Lepisosteus oculatus: one gene and its partner. The protein of the gene in region 1 binds, or shares a complex with, the protein of each later gene. Links are inferred from orthologs where the notes say so. Each region holds a gene or a part of one and is shown in the gene's direction. Other genes may lie near its edges.

Region 1 (7,616 bases):
GACTCTTGACTCTTGACTCTTGACTCTTGACTCTTGACTCTTGACTCTTTGTTGCCAACCATGGAACTTTACCTACGACTGCGCCTACCGTCTCGCCCCTCGGATTTGGAAACTCTCTTGTTGCTCTCCTCCTTCGGACCTTCGGATCAGACTTCTCGACTTCGACCTCTGCCTCGCCCTTCTCTGGTTAGGAGACCTTCGTTCATGCCTTTTGCCTCTCGGACCTCGGATCCCTTATCAGACTTCGCCTCTCGTTTAACTCCTAAGGTACCGCATAGGTCCATCCTCCCGTTTGCTAGCGGGTTACTCCTGACAAAGACACAGGACTAGCCCAGGACCAGATCTTCGTACAGGAGAGAGCCTCAAGGAGTCAGCTCCAGAACCTTCTCCGTCCTGGCCCTGTGATGTTCTCATTTCTTCCATTTTGTTATTTGAGCAGTGCTTGATCTAAATGCTCTCTAGTGAGCCAAGACCTTTCATCCAGTTCTTAAGATATTGAACGAGAGCTGTAACTCATCAATCCTTACTAATTTATCTGTTCCACACCTATTCTCATCCAGGTGTGTGCTCTGGAGGTAAGTGGAGCTCTTCGGATCAAAGGGTCGTGCTATGCAAGTGTCTGATTCCCACCGGCACTTCGGCACCTCTTAGAAGTTGCTTGGATGGAAATCAGATGGCACACGCTTAATAACCAAGGAAGGGTGGAGCTCTAGTTGCTACATTTCTTCGAGACCCCTGGACTGAAGACCGGGAGACGCACAGGGCTCCTCCAGGGCCCAGGTTGAGCACCAGTGTTAACACCCTTAAACTGCCAGCTGCTGGGCCAGTTGAGCTCTCTGAGGAACGCCCAGTGTCTTTCGCTTTTGTTCTTGAGATATTAAACGACGAACCTGAAGATCTTCTCACTTTGACACGTATAGGAGGTTTCCTAGGGCTTTTTACATTTGGTAACCCTAAACTTTCACTTCATTTTGTGACGTTCTTGGTGTTTCTGCCCTCGCCGCTCCTGCCCTGCCGTTCATCCCTCACTGCCAGGGTGCGAACCCGGGTCTCTGGCGTCACGCTATGGGGAACTTGCCAGCTGAGCTAAAGGAGACCTCCCTCAGCCCGGGCCGCTGAGATCCCTGTGATACGCAAGGCCGTATTCGTTACAATTACAAGTACAGCTAACCCAGCTCCAAAACTAGGTTGGTTTGGTTTAGGAAATTAAAAAAAACTGTAACACTTCTTACATGTGAAGTGTTACAATTGTATGATTAGACCGGTTCTGTAACTGGGGGGGACAAACCCAGAAGATGAGGGGACCCTCCCCCTGGAGCGGAGCTGAACCCGAACTGCACCAGTTTCCCTTCTCCTCCTGCAACTCCTGTCTTTGGTCAGGAAGGCTGGGCTTCTGAGGGTTTCCCCTGCTGCCCAAACCCCACGGCGGGCGTCGCTCGAGAGAGACCCGGGCGACGCCGAGTGGCTCTGGCAATGCGCGGCGGGAAAGGGCTGCACACGAGGCAGGGGCTGACCACTCGCTCCTGCCCGGGATGTCCCCACTGCCGGGAGAAGCCCGCAGGGCGCAGGCTTGTGAAGGGAGGATGCCCAGAGACGACAGAACTGTGGTTCTCATTCGCTACATTTCAGACGGCCTGTGGAAGTTCGCATCAACTCGGATGTGCTTGGGTGTGCTCGGATGCACTCCGGAGTGAAGGGTAATTCTCAGAAAGCTTGCAGTCGGTTCCAGCTCCTGATCTCCAACTGCTTTCCTTTTACATCAGTTCTGCTTCCTCAGCCAATTAACATGCACAGTATAATGAGACAGGATCAACACGTCAGCCGATAGGAAACATCCAGCTAATAGCACTCCATTTCAAAGTGGCTGCATCACAACCTGTGTCCGTCTAATTCGTATCACATTAATCTGTTTCAACAGCTGAGTAGCAAAGGAACTTCTAGTCCGGTATGCTTGTAGTCTGTCAATACTGTCTGTATTGGTCTTAGTAGGACAGGTGTAGTCATATAACTAATTGAGAGTGCCATCGAGAAGGTGTTTTTGGGGTGGTTTCAATGTTCGAATTCCAGAATTAAGAGTTCTAGAATTGCCCTATGAATCACATCGAGGGGTTTCTTTCATTCTATTTCACTTGTTTCTTTTATCTGTTACATTATTTAAGCCGATATGTCTATCAAAAAGCAGACTTGCGTGTACAGTGCTGATCTGGACAACCGTCTCTACGGCTGGGTATTTTACTGTCTCCTGGGCCCTCCCGGGCTCTGAACACAGAACCATTCTCGACTCAAGAGCCCTTGTCACTGTTCTGTTTCCATTCCAGCTATCAGCCAGGTATCAGTCAGTACCTTTCAACAATGGTGCATTCGATGTGACTCAGACCAATCTTTTACCCGTGCTTTTGAATTAACTTTAATAATTTATTTAATAATTAAATGAATTTCAAAAAGGCTCTTGCCCGTCTGTGGTTAATTGCACAACTTCAGCGAAGTATCGGTGGTTGCAGCAATTTGCACTCTCTATGTTGTAAAACGGGGGCTTGAGGTCACGAATTGTCTTTAATCTGTTTTTATTATTGCCTCAGTCCTTCCGCCCCGCCTGACCTCAGCCCGTGACAGGCTGGGGCCACGCGCTCCTCCGCCAGGCTCCCAGTAGCAGGAACTCGCGCGTCTTTCTCAGCGGACGAGCACGAGTTCCTGTTTTTAGCATTTCCTGCTTCGAGTTTGAGCTACACAGCTATTGCCTGTGCACGGGTACTCCCAAGTATAACGTTCCGTAAAACGCCGCTAATGAAATCAAGTGAAAACAACAACGCACTCGCCCCCAAAAAAGAAACTACAATCAGGAATAACGGAGTTGGAGCCTCTCTCCGTAGGCGGCCGTTCTCCGGTACGAGAAGCAGGAGTCGTGCAGTGACAGTATCCTGTCGCTAGATGGAGACAACGCCTTGTTTTGAGTCCGCAGGCGGCGGAGACAGACTTGGAGGCCAAGTCTGGACCGATTTAGGAAATGAGAGCTTTGTACCCCCTCTGTAGTCAGATCTGAATTGATGGCGGAAGAATTAGTCTTTATTTGGATTGTAGTCTGTTTTGAACAGTGATGACTCCGAATCATTCTACAACACACTTCATTCTGCCGATCGAAATTGATCTCGTCTTTATTCACTCTAGTCTTACCGTAAGTGTACGGCTGAGCTCAACCCTGTCCTCACGTACTGTGAATGTTTAAGTGTAATGCATTGGAATAGAGGCGCCTGCTAAGGAAAGAACAATCCAGCTCGACTCCCGGCGCCTCGGAGTTCAGCGTCATGGTCAAGTCACACTCCTGGAGAAACTGGGCAGTGGACTGCGACTGTAAACTGTTTTTGATCCCAGAGCAGTTGATGACCACTCCCATGTAGTAATCCACAACGAATTTATCACTCAGGTTGATTCATAAAGTATAAGTACTTAGGTGTACACATAGACCGTAACCTGTGCTGGTCTACTCATGTTGAGAGTGTTTGCTCATCAATTCAGCAGCGCTTAAATTTCTGGAGAGCGTTTGGGGTTCGACAGGAAGTAATGCTACTCTTTTACCATGCTAATAGTTTGGTAATCTATCAGTTTATTTAAACATTGCAAATTACCCGCCTCATCCACACAGCTTTGAAGGTCGTGGGAGTGAAACAGCACCCCTCCCTGTAGACAATCGTTGAAAGATCCATAATCAAACAGGCAGGAAAAATTATATCAGATCCTTCCCACATCCTCAACTCTGAATATCAACTTCTTCCTGCTGACAAACGTTTTAGGGTTCCCAAATGTAAGTCAGATACAAACATTCCTTTGTTCCACTCTCCATTAAAGCTGTCGACGCAAATGTTAAGGATAAACACAATTTTGACTCTTACAACCCACTTGAGCGCAATATGTTTTGTGAGGTGTTATAAATGTTACATGTTGTTACGTGTTATACGTGTGCAATAGAGTGATGTGCAATGTTTTTCTTATTTTTTTGTAATAGAATAATGTGCAATGTTTTTCCTTTCTTCTTTTTGGTTTGCATTCTATTTAAATGTACAGGAGTGCTGTGTGTCCATAAAACAATTCCCTCAGGGGACAATTAAATCTTATCTTATACATATATAACTAATGTTTATAAAAGGGTGTCTGTTTCACGAGATTAACCCTCCTCAGAGACATCCCCTCAGATCCTCAACTCTCAAGAATAACTTCCTTCATCGAGTCATGGCCGAACGAGGACAAAAATTTACTTGATTATCACCGAAACGGCACTACCAGGTGCATCTAAGCAAAGTGTAGCAATTGTGGTACAGAATGAATAAGAATTTTTATGACGTTTTAGAATACGAGAACCGAAAGGTTTTTGTGGTAAAATCTCAATTTCATTTCAAATATACAGTACAGTGTATTGGGTTATATCCTATATCACCGTTATTCACCCCACAAGTCTAGGTTTTAAACTCCAGATTTTTCAGGATAATAGAAATATATTCATGTTTCATAACTAAAAAGCTAACTTCAGCGGCAACTGTCGACGCTCCCTGGAGCTGCGAGCTCGAGCGCCTGTCTATTGGGGCACGTGTCAGAAACCGCTCGAGCTACTCCTGCAGGCGCGTGAAGCTGCGCGTGCCCAGCCCTTCACAGACCTGCAGATCTCGCCTCGCGCGGACCGGCGGACGGAGGGTGACGGGCAAAACACCACGGTTATCGTGAGTAAAGATGACAAAAAACATCTACGAAACTTGCTTTCGCATCGCGTTGGTGTCGTGGCCGGGTGTTCAGTGCAGGTATTCGTCAGGATTTACGGTGTGGTGCTTTTCTGTTACAGCTCCTGCCCAGTTGAGAAGTTTCCGAGTTTCTTATTGGAAAAGCCTGAGAGAGACGAGGCAGTTGGAGCATTTCTGTGTCTTAGATGTGATGGTGTGAAGATGATTGGTTTTGTTTGATTCACGTATTTTCCGATACACAAAAAAACAAAATCCATTTCTTTCTGTAGCTACATGCGACACACAAGACGGAAACTTTCTGGTCCGGGTTTTTATCCTCATGTGTTCCCTGGTGCTACAGTACATCACCCCTCGGTATCGGTTCAGTTTTTAAGAATGTAAAGGTTCATTATGTTGTGTCCTTACGCAGTTCTTATCACGAACCACCCCCGGCCCCGAAGAGCCAGATTTCCAGGTTAATTAGGACCACACTTTCACGGGGGTGTTTGAAGACCTAATTCGAACATTTATACGTTTATTTTTGCTCCACGAAACGTACCCCCGATTCGCCCGACGGGACAGAAAGCTGTTTCAGAAGTTACTGGAGCTCCCTGCTGAGCGCAGCTCGTACTGTGGGTGACGCCGAGAGGTCTGGAACCGTGAATAATGTCTCAGTCCCGCGTTGTAAGCGCCACAGAAATGCAAAACTAGGACGAACTGATGAACACAACTGTCGTGGCCTGGTAAAAAAAAATTCCGTATATAATTGGTGTGATTTTAAATGTTTCGTCCTGTGAAATTCTCTTTGCTTCGGCAGTCTATTCGGTACAGCCCCGAATGAAAGGCCAAAAGGGGCTGAGCGCAAATCTGGCATCTCAGTTCAACGGAATTAACTTGATGCCCGCCAAGATCTGTCGTGATTTCTGTGTTAAGAGCTTTAAATGGCGCCCGCGATGCACCGTGTTGCTGCGCAGGTAGTGAAACGGGCTGCAGGAAAGTGGGAAAGGAAGGGAGGTGTGTGGAGGCTTCAGGTGTTGCGGTTTACACGTGTTGTTGTTCGTGTTTTGATCGCGGAGCTGGAGGTTGGTGGCCGCTGGTTCTCGCCGAGCAGTCAGGCGCGCCTCTGCGGTTCGACAGACAGGAGAAGCGGGGGTCTAGCCCTGCAAGGGTGTGGACTTCAAAGGCGAGAGGGACAGGATACAAATAATAATGATGAAAAAACAACTGTTGCGAGAAACTTTAGCTTAACTGATGCTCCAAACGTGAGATGCGAGGTGCTAATTCAAACCGGAGCTGGGTCGCGCTGTGGATCCGAGGGGCGTATCAACCCAAGCGATTTTGCCAGACTTTGTGTTTTTACCACACTGCGTTGAAATAGGTTTTGACCATGAATCTCGCTGCGTGCTCTCTGGAGTTGCAGTTGGGCGGCTGCGGACGTGTTTTGATGCAGTGCGTGCTCTTTTGGGGTTTCGATGGATGTTTGTGCCGCAGCTTCGCTGACATTTCGGAGGCGCCAATGTATCAGGTGAAGGAGGCTCTTCTCTTGCTTCCAGCCTCATCCTTCAGCAAACGTTTTCAGCTTCTTTCGCACCGCTGCAGGGTGGCACAGGGGTCAGCATTGCTGCCTCACAGCACTCGGGCCCTGGGTTACAATTCCAGTCCTGGGGTGCTGTCTGGGTGGAGTCCGCATGTTCTCCCATGGTTTATATGGGTTTCCTCCAGGTGCTCCAGTTTCCTCCCACAGTTCAAAGACATGCAGGCAGCTTAATTGGCTTCTGGGAAAACTGGCCCTGGTGTGAGTGTGTCTGTGTGTGTTCTGTGATGGACTGGTGTCCGATGGACCCTGAATTAGATAAAGAGGTTGGAAAATGGATGGATGACATAATCATTTCTATTTTTGCTATATATTCAAGAAATTTGTATTTGAGATGAAAAGATGAATTTGATGCAAAAGTACAGAATGTCGCCTTTCATTTCTGGATATTTCTGTGCTTATATGGCGTGCAGGTTCAGAAGAACACCACTTTTTGTGTTTTATCCCCCCATTTTAAGTGAACATAGGTATAGGGAGAAATTAACGTAAAGTAGTATAAAACGTGATTGTTTGGTTGCTGATCTTTTGGACACAATAACTGCATCAAGCGTGTGACCCAGGCGACATCGCCAGGTTCTTGGGTTGTTCTGTTGAGATGCTTTGCCAAGCCTTTGCTGGAGCCATTTTCAGAAGCTGTTTGGTTTGGGGGGTATCTGACCTCACTCATCCTTTCAACAGATGTGTAACGAACAGTTCTATCCGGACCCTATGTGGACGACACGATCCAGAATAGTGAGGAAGGAATGCACTAGTCATGCAGGAACAGGGATGAAAACAGGGGGGCGTGTCCATACGGTGCTGGTGATCCGGGGAGGTGTGGTCGAGGCGAACAGTCTAAGAATAAATCCAAAAGAGGGAATCCAAAAACGAAAGCAAAAGGTCCAAGGCTGAGAAATCTGTCCAAACAGGAGATTAAAATCAGGTGCTGGGTCGGGACCGGCTGGGGGAACAAGGACAGGAGCAGGAAGTTAAAAACATGACGGAGCCGGGCACAACCAGGTCCTGTGCTCGCACGATGCGGGGATCAGATGCAGAGCCCCGGGTGAAGTGAGCGCCTGGCTCCTTACTGAGGAGTTTTTGGCTCCTCTCCTCCGTTGTCTTCTGGTCTTTTCTGTTCTGTATTCACAACATGTAAGGTCAATTGCTTTGTTAAGGGCCCTGGGGCAACCTTGTTGTGAAAGGCGCTAAATAAAAATCCACTGAATTGAATTGAACTATGTGGTCATTACAAGCAATGAAGAATGTCGTTGTACACCTTGATCGTGTAACTGGCATTGAAATCCACTTTAAAAAGTTTTAAATATTTCATGCTGTTA
Region 2 (6,992 bases), on another chromosome or scaffold:
CAACAGTGATCTGAAGATTTTAAAGGGATCATGGCGGCTTTCTCACACCTGTGTGGGATTCACCCACAGTGTTCCTCTTCCCAAACTGAGAAGCTTACCATCCCATCCCTGACGTGGCTCTGGAAGAGATCTGATTTTGTAGACACAGCCCCACTGTCACTCATCTGTGCAGCAACAACTCCGCTCAGTATATTCTCAAGGCTGGAGCCGATGTGAGCGATTACATCTTTGTGGGCATTCCCTGGACAAAATAAGGGGTACACGCTCTTTGCTTTGCATAAAAGAAAAACTTGTAGGTAAGTATGTATGTCTACTCTGGGACTATCCACATGACCTTTATGCAAATCGTATTTAAACGGAAGATGCAGACAAGCACTCAATTTCCTGTGTAGACACAATCCTGGGCTTTACACTTTCACACTCTTCACCCCACATCAAGCACCCTTAGTTCCACTGTCAGCTGTGGTACAGAAATGCTTTTTACTTTCCTGCTTAGCATAAGGTTTTGAGCCTTGTGGAGTCTCACCTCTACAGATTGCCTTAGCTGCTCTCTCAAGAAACAGGGCTTTTTCTGCCTCAGAGAGGTCAGCGAAGAAGCTGACATGATTCTCTGTCTGCTGCTGCTGCACAGCCTCGAACAGGTCTGCAGTGAAAGCCTTCCACTCCTGAAACAGCAACAGAGAAGCGAAAAAGACTCTATACACAGGGTTTTAAAAAAGTCAAGGTGGACAGCCAGTAAGGTTAAAGCAATTCTGAACACCTACTTAAAAACATTTAGAATTGTGCAAAGATGTCTGCAGCATGACTTGGGTTAACTGTTCAGAGCAGAACATCAGAAAGACACAGATGTCACAGATAAGAAATGACCTTTCTGCCCGTTGGGCTTATTTGATTCTGTTTATAACACCACAGGCATCCCTGGTCCTGGAACTACCTGAGACCATCACGGTGTCTGCTGTATTTCAGTCCAGCTGAGCTATAAATCACCAGTGCTAGTTGACGCCTAGTTGATCTACTTCCTTACTGTGACTTACTTTTTTAGTTCACTTATTTGCTGCAGCTTCCGATATGGAATTCTCCCCAACTTGCTTACCCTAATTTCTGACTACAGAGTTATTAATCTGCTTTATCCAATACAGGACTGCGGGGGAGCCGGAGTCTAACTCAGCAAGAAATGGGCAAGAAAGTGAGATACCCCCTGGATGGGACTGTGGGAAGAAACGGAGCCACCCAGAGCAAACCCACGCAAACATGGAGAGGACTTGCAGACTCCACACAGATAACACCCCAGGTCGTGGACAGGAAAGCACTCCAATCCTGGCTCTAGAGGGATACTGTGTCTGCAGGTGGTGCCACAAAACCGACCCAATCAAGGCAATAATTTGGACTGGAAACCCAGGAGACACCAGTGCTCCCCAAGAACCAAGACTGGGAACCACTGCTATAGACACACTGTCTGAACGTAGCACCTCCAAGGGTGAAATTCCTTTTGAAACCCTCACCCCAGGAAAGCGACGGTTCAGAGTTACCAGTCAAACCGAACTTTAATGTCACTGGGAGATGGGAAGAAAGTTGGGGCACCCTGTGAATGCGGGAAGAACATGCAAACTCTGCACAGACAGGTGACACAAGTGGGGCTCAAACACTGCCTGGAGCCTGTGAGGCAGCTGCGCCAAGCACCGCACCAGCATACGTCTTGTTCCCCAGGAAAACCTTCTGAAGAGAGAAGTGAAATGATCGCATGCGTGGGGCGGCCAAGGAAACAGGGGTCTCACAGTCACACAGGGCCCCAGTCTCACAGAGCTGCACTGGAGAGCTCTGGGTAAAGAGGAGCTCCCTACGCAGATGAATCAGCCACAGACCACAGCCTCCCCTCGATCCACCTCTGGTTTATGATACTGTAAATAACTGTATTCAGTCTCACTTCTCCTTCCCTGTTCTCTAAAATAAACCTCCACAGAAGAAGTACTTCTTCTCAAGGTGACAAAATCAGACTCGGCAACGTTCCATCCAGAGAGTCAATTAATATCAGAGGAGTCACTGCCATTCCTTAAGCTCTGCTGCCTGCTGGCATGTAACCCTACAGAGAATATTTGCAAATGCAGGTTTCCCAGAATGTAGAACAATCTTCAGATCTATGTCTGCCAGCAGCGCACACACGGGTGTAACCACAGGCAGAAGCTGAGCACTTCAAAGTGGCCGTTAGCGGAACCAGCACCAGCAGGGTGCGTGAGGAGAGGAAACGGGTGATGGGAACCGACAGCAGAGAGAAAGACGAAGACGTGGGAGACAATTCTGTCTCCCACGGACCCGTCTAGAAACTCGAGCAGACTGTAGGCTGCCTTTGAGAAACAGCTTTTTGACGTAGTACATGAACATATTGAATACTTGCAGAAGCGCAACGCTGCCACCAAGGGAAAAACAATCACCCCCTTATCTCGTAATTATGAGGAAAGTATCTCCTCATTCCGAGACAGCGAAGTCTACGGTAACAGAGTAGCCTTCACTGTTGGGTTATCAAGCATCCCTCCATCCATTTTCTAACCAGCTCTTCCAGTTGAGGGTAGTGGGGGAGCTGGAGCCTATCCCAGCAAGCAACGGGCTCAAGGCAGGGCACGCCCTGGGTGAGATGCCTGCTTACACAGGCATGTTACTGTTCTGTCACCTCACAGCTTTCCCTTGTTTTTTTTTACTCTTCCTTTCTCATTCTCAGGGCTAAATCATCAGCAGATAACCGAATATAAACTGAAGAACAAGCCTGGGAAAGGAATTCAGCCTCATGTGTCCGGCACAACCTTGCCTGTGTATTTAGATCTTTTATGTAACGTTTTCGTAGATACCATACAAACTGTTTTCTGAGACCCGCTGGTGACTTTAAAACGTAGAGCGGTATGTCTTTACTAATCTTACCTGACCGGTCTCTTGCTAAAGTACTCGCTTTTAATAGAAATCTTTCTATTCTCTTCTAAAAGTAACCACATATGAGTGCGTGCCTGCTGTGGTACTCGGCCCTCTGTGCTTGCAGAAGTCACACAGGGCGCAGGGCGTAATTGAATCAGTTTTTTTTTTATTTATTTAGGTCACAGAAAGGAAAGCGTATAAACCATCTTAGAATCTGTACGGGTATAGATGAACCGTTTTGGAAAACACATCGCTTTTTCATCTTTCAACACACCTTATCGCAAAGCTTATTTATTTATTATTATTATTATTATTATTATTATTATTATTATTATTATTATTATTATTATTAAGATTACCTGCGAATTTTCAATGATTGTCCTTGCTTTTAGTAGCCACTGCGGGGCTGCAAAGCTGTTCTCCATTACTTAAAAGCTCTGCTGAGCCCAATACCGTTGCTAAGTAAGCGGGTTGCTAAAACAAGGAGGTTTAAAACAGACGCTCAAAGCTGACCAGAGGAGGCCACCCCGGTCATTCGCTTTGATGATAATAACGTTGCCTAATCGTAAAAACGCATTGTTCTTCTACTAAACCACTACTAGTAGGTTTAGTCCGATTTACATCTGGGGAATTATAAAAACTTTTATAAGGCAAAAAAAGGCATCATTTTGTAAAATCGTGTAATACAAACATGCCCTTAAAAACTTTATTCAATCTGCCATTCTAATTTTTAAAAAATGGCCGCTTTTTCTTCTTAGTTGAAGAAAATGGCGATTTGAAAAAGCAAATAAAATATCAAGGTGGGAGTGAAGTATTTTGCATTTTAAAATTGGCTTCAAAGACGCTGAGTCCTGTTAAATAAGAAATACTCGTTTTAATCCGCTGCTCGGACCGGGACAAACTAATCATGCTTTGTTAACAATTTTGTTAAAATAGATTTTTGCGTTGCTGATTTGACAATTCCCTCTGACCTTTAATTTCTTAACGTTTCTCCCTCTTCTTGTTATACGTATTGATATACCTGTGCAAAAAAAAACAGTACAATACAGTAGAGGCGGTGTGTAGGAACTATCAGGAAAAAAATGCGCAATTTAGTAATTTAAGTGCAAACGCACATTAGACGGAAAAAAATAAAACTTGATTGGATAACTTACACCTTAAACGGGTTTATAAAACCTGAAAGCGACGTAATAAGTAATTTAATGTATTTTTAGGAAGAAAAGTTGTGAAGTAGTATTACGCAGACTTGCATGTGACTATGCGACAGACATCCCACATCCTCTTCGGAACATATCTGCCTGATATGCGAGACATATGTCGCTGGTATTACCAACGTTTAAAAGATTTATTACGGAAACCACACCGAAATGGCACATAATTGTCTATTGTGGCTAATCAGTGAGTACAACTTTCCTTGTAATCAATTCCGTAGCTGCAGAAGTCATTACTTGCTCTTGTGTTACGCGTGTTAAACTTTATATAAAATAAATGTTTGGGGGGTTTAATTAAAAGGTGCGAAAATGTCTCGGACGTGATGAAAATACTCTTTTACACTTTCTGCACTGAGAGTTCTTACTATATTATACGGAACCTCAAGCTCATTGAGAAGTGCAGAACGTGAAATATAAAATAAGACCCCTCCTTTTTCATCAGTGTCTGACTTCTTTTTCTCCCTCTAAATGTCTTTTTTATATGTATTACATTTCGTGCTGAAGAGTATGATGTTTAAAATCTCAAGTTCGGCTGCGGTACGGGTGTGGTAGCTCTTCTGTAATAAAACATTCTCAACATAATGCATTCATTTGAGAACACCCTTGTCCTATTTTTCATATTCTTTCTCCAACGAAGCTAAAATCTAGCACTCACCACCCAACAACGTCATCACCTCTTGCCAGAATATATATATATATTACTGGCAGATCAAAATGTGCACCAGTTTCGAGATGTATTAATACATAAAGTCCTAAATCGTGATAAGCACTGCAACGTGTGTCAATAGTTCAACAAAATACATACATTATTTTCATACAACAAAGGGAGCAAACTTTTAGGATATAACGCAAACGAATTTGGAAACTGGCGACGGTGAAGGCTTTTTTGTTTTCAAGAAGCTGAGAAATAATGATACATTAGCGGTCAGGGGAGTGGCCCAGCGCTACAGCCGGCACCCTGGGTTCAGTTTCTGGGGTGCTGTCTGCGTGGAGTGCTCGCATGTTTCCTCCCACAGTCCAAAGATATAGTTTGTAGGTTAATTGAATTTGGGGGAAAATGGCCCTGGTGTGTGTGTGTGTGTGTGTGCCAACACGCCCTGCAATGGACGGGCGTCCTGTCCAGGGTGTACCCTGCCTTGTGCCTGTTTCTTGCCAGCTTGCACTCCCAGTCCGACACGACCATGCACTGGATAAAATCTGAAATTGTTCATGTTGCTGAGACATGTATTTTGCTGCTGTGTTCTGACTCCGTGGTACATGCACCATGATGAAATGCGACTCTCGCGCATCTGCATTTCTACCTCTGGAAGAACTGACACATGGTCTCCACTCGAGTACTGAGCACGTTTGGATGATCTGGTCACCCCTTTGGACTGATAGTGAAAATCTCCTTCCTTAATTCATTTATTTTTTTCCCTCTTCCTCTCTCATATTACTCTGGTCCTGGAGGGCTGTGCAGTTCTGTCCCTATAAAGATAAATCTAACGTACCTAACCTCATATTATTGTTGAATTTGCAGCTGTATATGCAGTGGAGGGTTTTAATATTTACTCCAAGCCGATTCAAACTTTTGAAGAATTGAACAGCCCTTCCCTAGGGCAATCTGTCCTTCAGTATGAGGATGGGTGAGTAGTGTAAAGAGTTACATTATCCTCTGCTTCATGAAGTTTCTGGCACTTTCTTGTTGCTTATATTCTTCAATTTAAAATAGTATATTGTGGTACATATGGTAATCTTAATAACAATGTTTGTCTTTATGCTTGTTGATATATTAACTTGATATTATAATAGCCTTATAGGAGTGTAGCTAACTAGCAATCTTTAATATTTGTAAATAAAACGCAACGGTGATCTTCTCCCAATCTTTAAGGACCTGTTTCTTTTATCACAGGATCTTAGTTACTTCTCCCTTGGACAATATGAGCGACCAGCAGTATGGTAGACTTTATGACTGCAAGGTCTCGGCACACTGTACTGAAGTCAGCCTCACAGGTACAAGTCCAGTTCCCTGATTTTTGATATGCAGACAATATTGTGTTCCCTTGTGCAAGAAATGGGGGTGATCTGGGTATTTATCTTTGACCTTGTAGCGAAAGAGAAAAGCTATCGGAAACCTATCATATCAGCAGCCAAAAGCTCAGATGGATCAACATACCTGGTAAGGTTTCTATTCTGTCTCTTGCTAATGCTACGAGAGAGTTTTTGTTTTCTGTAATTAAGAAGAGTATTTAAGATTAAAATGCAATGCTCTGATTGTATTTGGAGATCTTAGTGTTCTCACAGAAATGTCACGAGAGAATGCAATGGCATATCATTATCTCACGGTCAACTAAGAAAACAAACCAGCATTTTTTGTGTGGTGGTGAGGATTCATAGACTGTCGAACCAAGGGACAGATGATTCCACATGCGAAGGAGCAATATTTCCCAAAACGGCTCCAATTTCAAAGATGGTTCAAGGACGTAAGTGAGAAATGCCAACACAAAAAATTTAGGAGGCTTGCAGAGTAGCAGTGCAGCAGTACTTCTGCATGCTTTGCATGAGACCAGACAGCAAATACAGCTGTGCTACACAGACACAGTCTACCACTACTTTCTTAAACCCATCTGCCACACCACAGCTTCCTTTCTTCTGAGCAAGCTGTACTTCACAGCCTGAAGTCAATGCTCTCTTCTCTTACTCCTGCCCTGCTTGTAATTGTGTATTTCAAAATCGTGTAGCTCATGCCTTTCCCTTCATTTAAGTACTGATTCAGGCTGGTTGCCGTATGGGATTTGTACAAGATTTGTTTCTTAGTCATACCATCAAATTTATGGATTTTGGAGATTTGCAATAAGCTGAAAATCAGATTTTCTAGGAATTTCGTTTTCGCCTCTCAGG

The links. The genes of interacting proteins can lie anywhere in the genome.
Region 2: the proteins of itgb7 (region 1) and integrin alpha-E are in contact, whole or in part, in a cryo-EM structure (PDB 8ZJF), measured with the Homo sapiens proteins. The link is inferred for Lepisosteus oculatus from reciprocal best matches to the Homo sapiens genes ITGB7 and ITGAE. Residues at the interface, in NP_000880.1 of Homo sapiens: Val201, Leu202, Pro203, Ser206, Thr207, Val208, Pro209, Ser210, Lys211, Arg213, His214, Cys216, Pro217, Arg219, Leu220, Glu221, Arg222, Leu255, Asp256, Ser257, Pro258, Thr291, Phe292, His293, Thr294, Ala295, Gly296, Asp297, Lys299, Leu300; in NP_002199.3 of Homo sapiens: Phe36, Leu38, Arg91, His92, Arg93, Gly94, Leu111, Arg113, Leu118, Ser119, Ser120, Leu122, Glu196, Glu198, Arg230, Tyr233, Glu234, Phe237, Glu238, Cys239, Asn240, Ser259, Gln260, Val262, Met263, Leu266, Arg300, Leu401, Gln403, Phe406.

The regions. Positions count from the first base shown.
Region 1 is NC_090696.1:20,659,738-20,667,353, reverse strand, and holds the start of itgb7 (integrin beta-7), read left to right. Parts: upstream 1-4,586; 5' UTR 4,587-4,709; intron 4,710-7,616. UniProt on the Homo sapiens protein: Integrin ITGA4/ITGB7 (alpha-4/beta-7) (Peyer patches-specific homing receptor LPAM-1) is an adhesion molecule that mediates lymphocyte migration and homing to gut-associated lymphoid tissue (GALT).
Region 2 is NC_090721.1:4,074,121-4,081,112, reverse strand, and holds the start of integrin alpha-E, read left to right. Parts: upstream 1-3,962; 5' UTR 3,963-4,268; coding exon 4,269-4,299; intron 4,300-5,631; coding exon 5,632-5,737; intron 5,738-6,003; coding exon 6,004-6,104; intron 6,105-6,202; coding exon 6,203-6,270; intron 6,271-6,991; coding exon 6,992-6,992. Other genes in the region: uncharacterized protein, read right to left, coding at 99-241, 527-665, 3,261-3,326. UniProt on the Homo sapiens protein: Integrin alpha-E/beta-7 is a receptor for E-cadherin. It mediates adhesion of intra-epithelial T-lymphocytes to epithelial cell monolayers.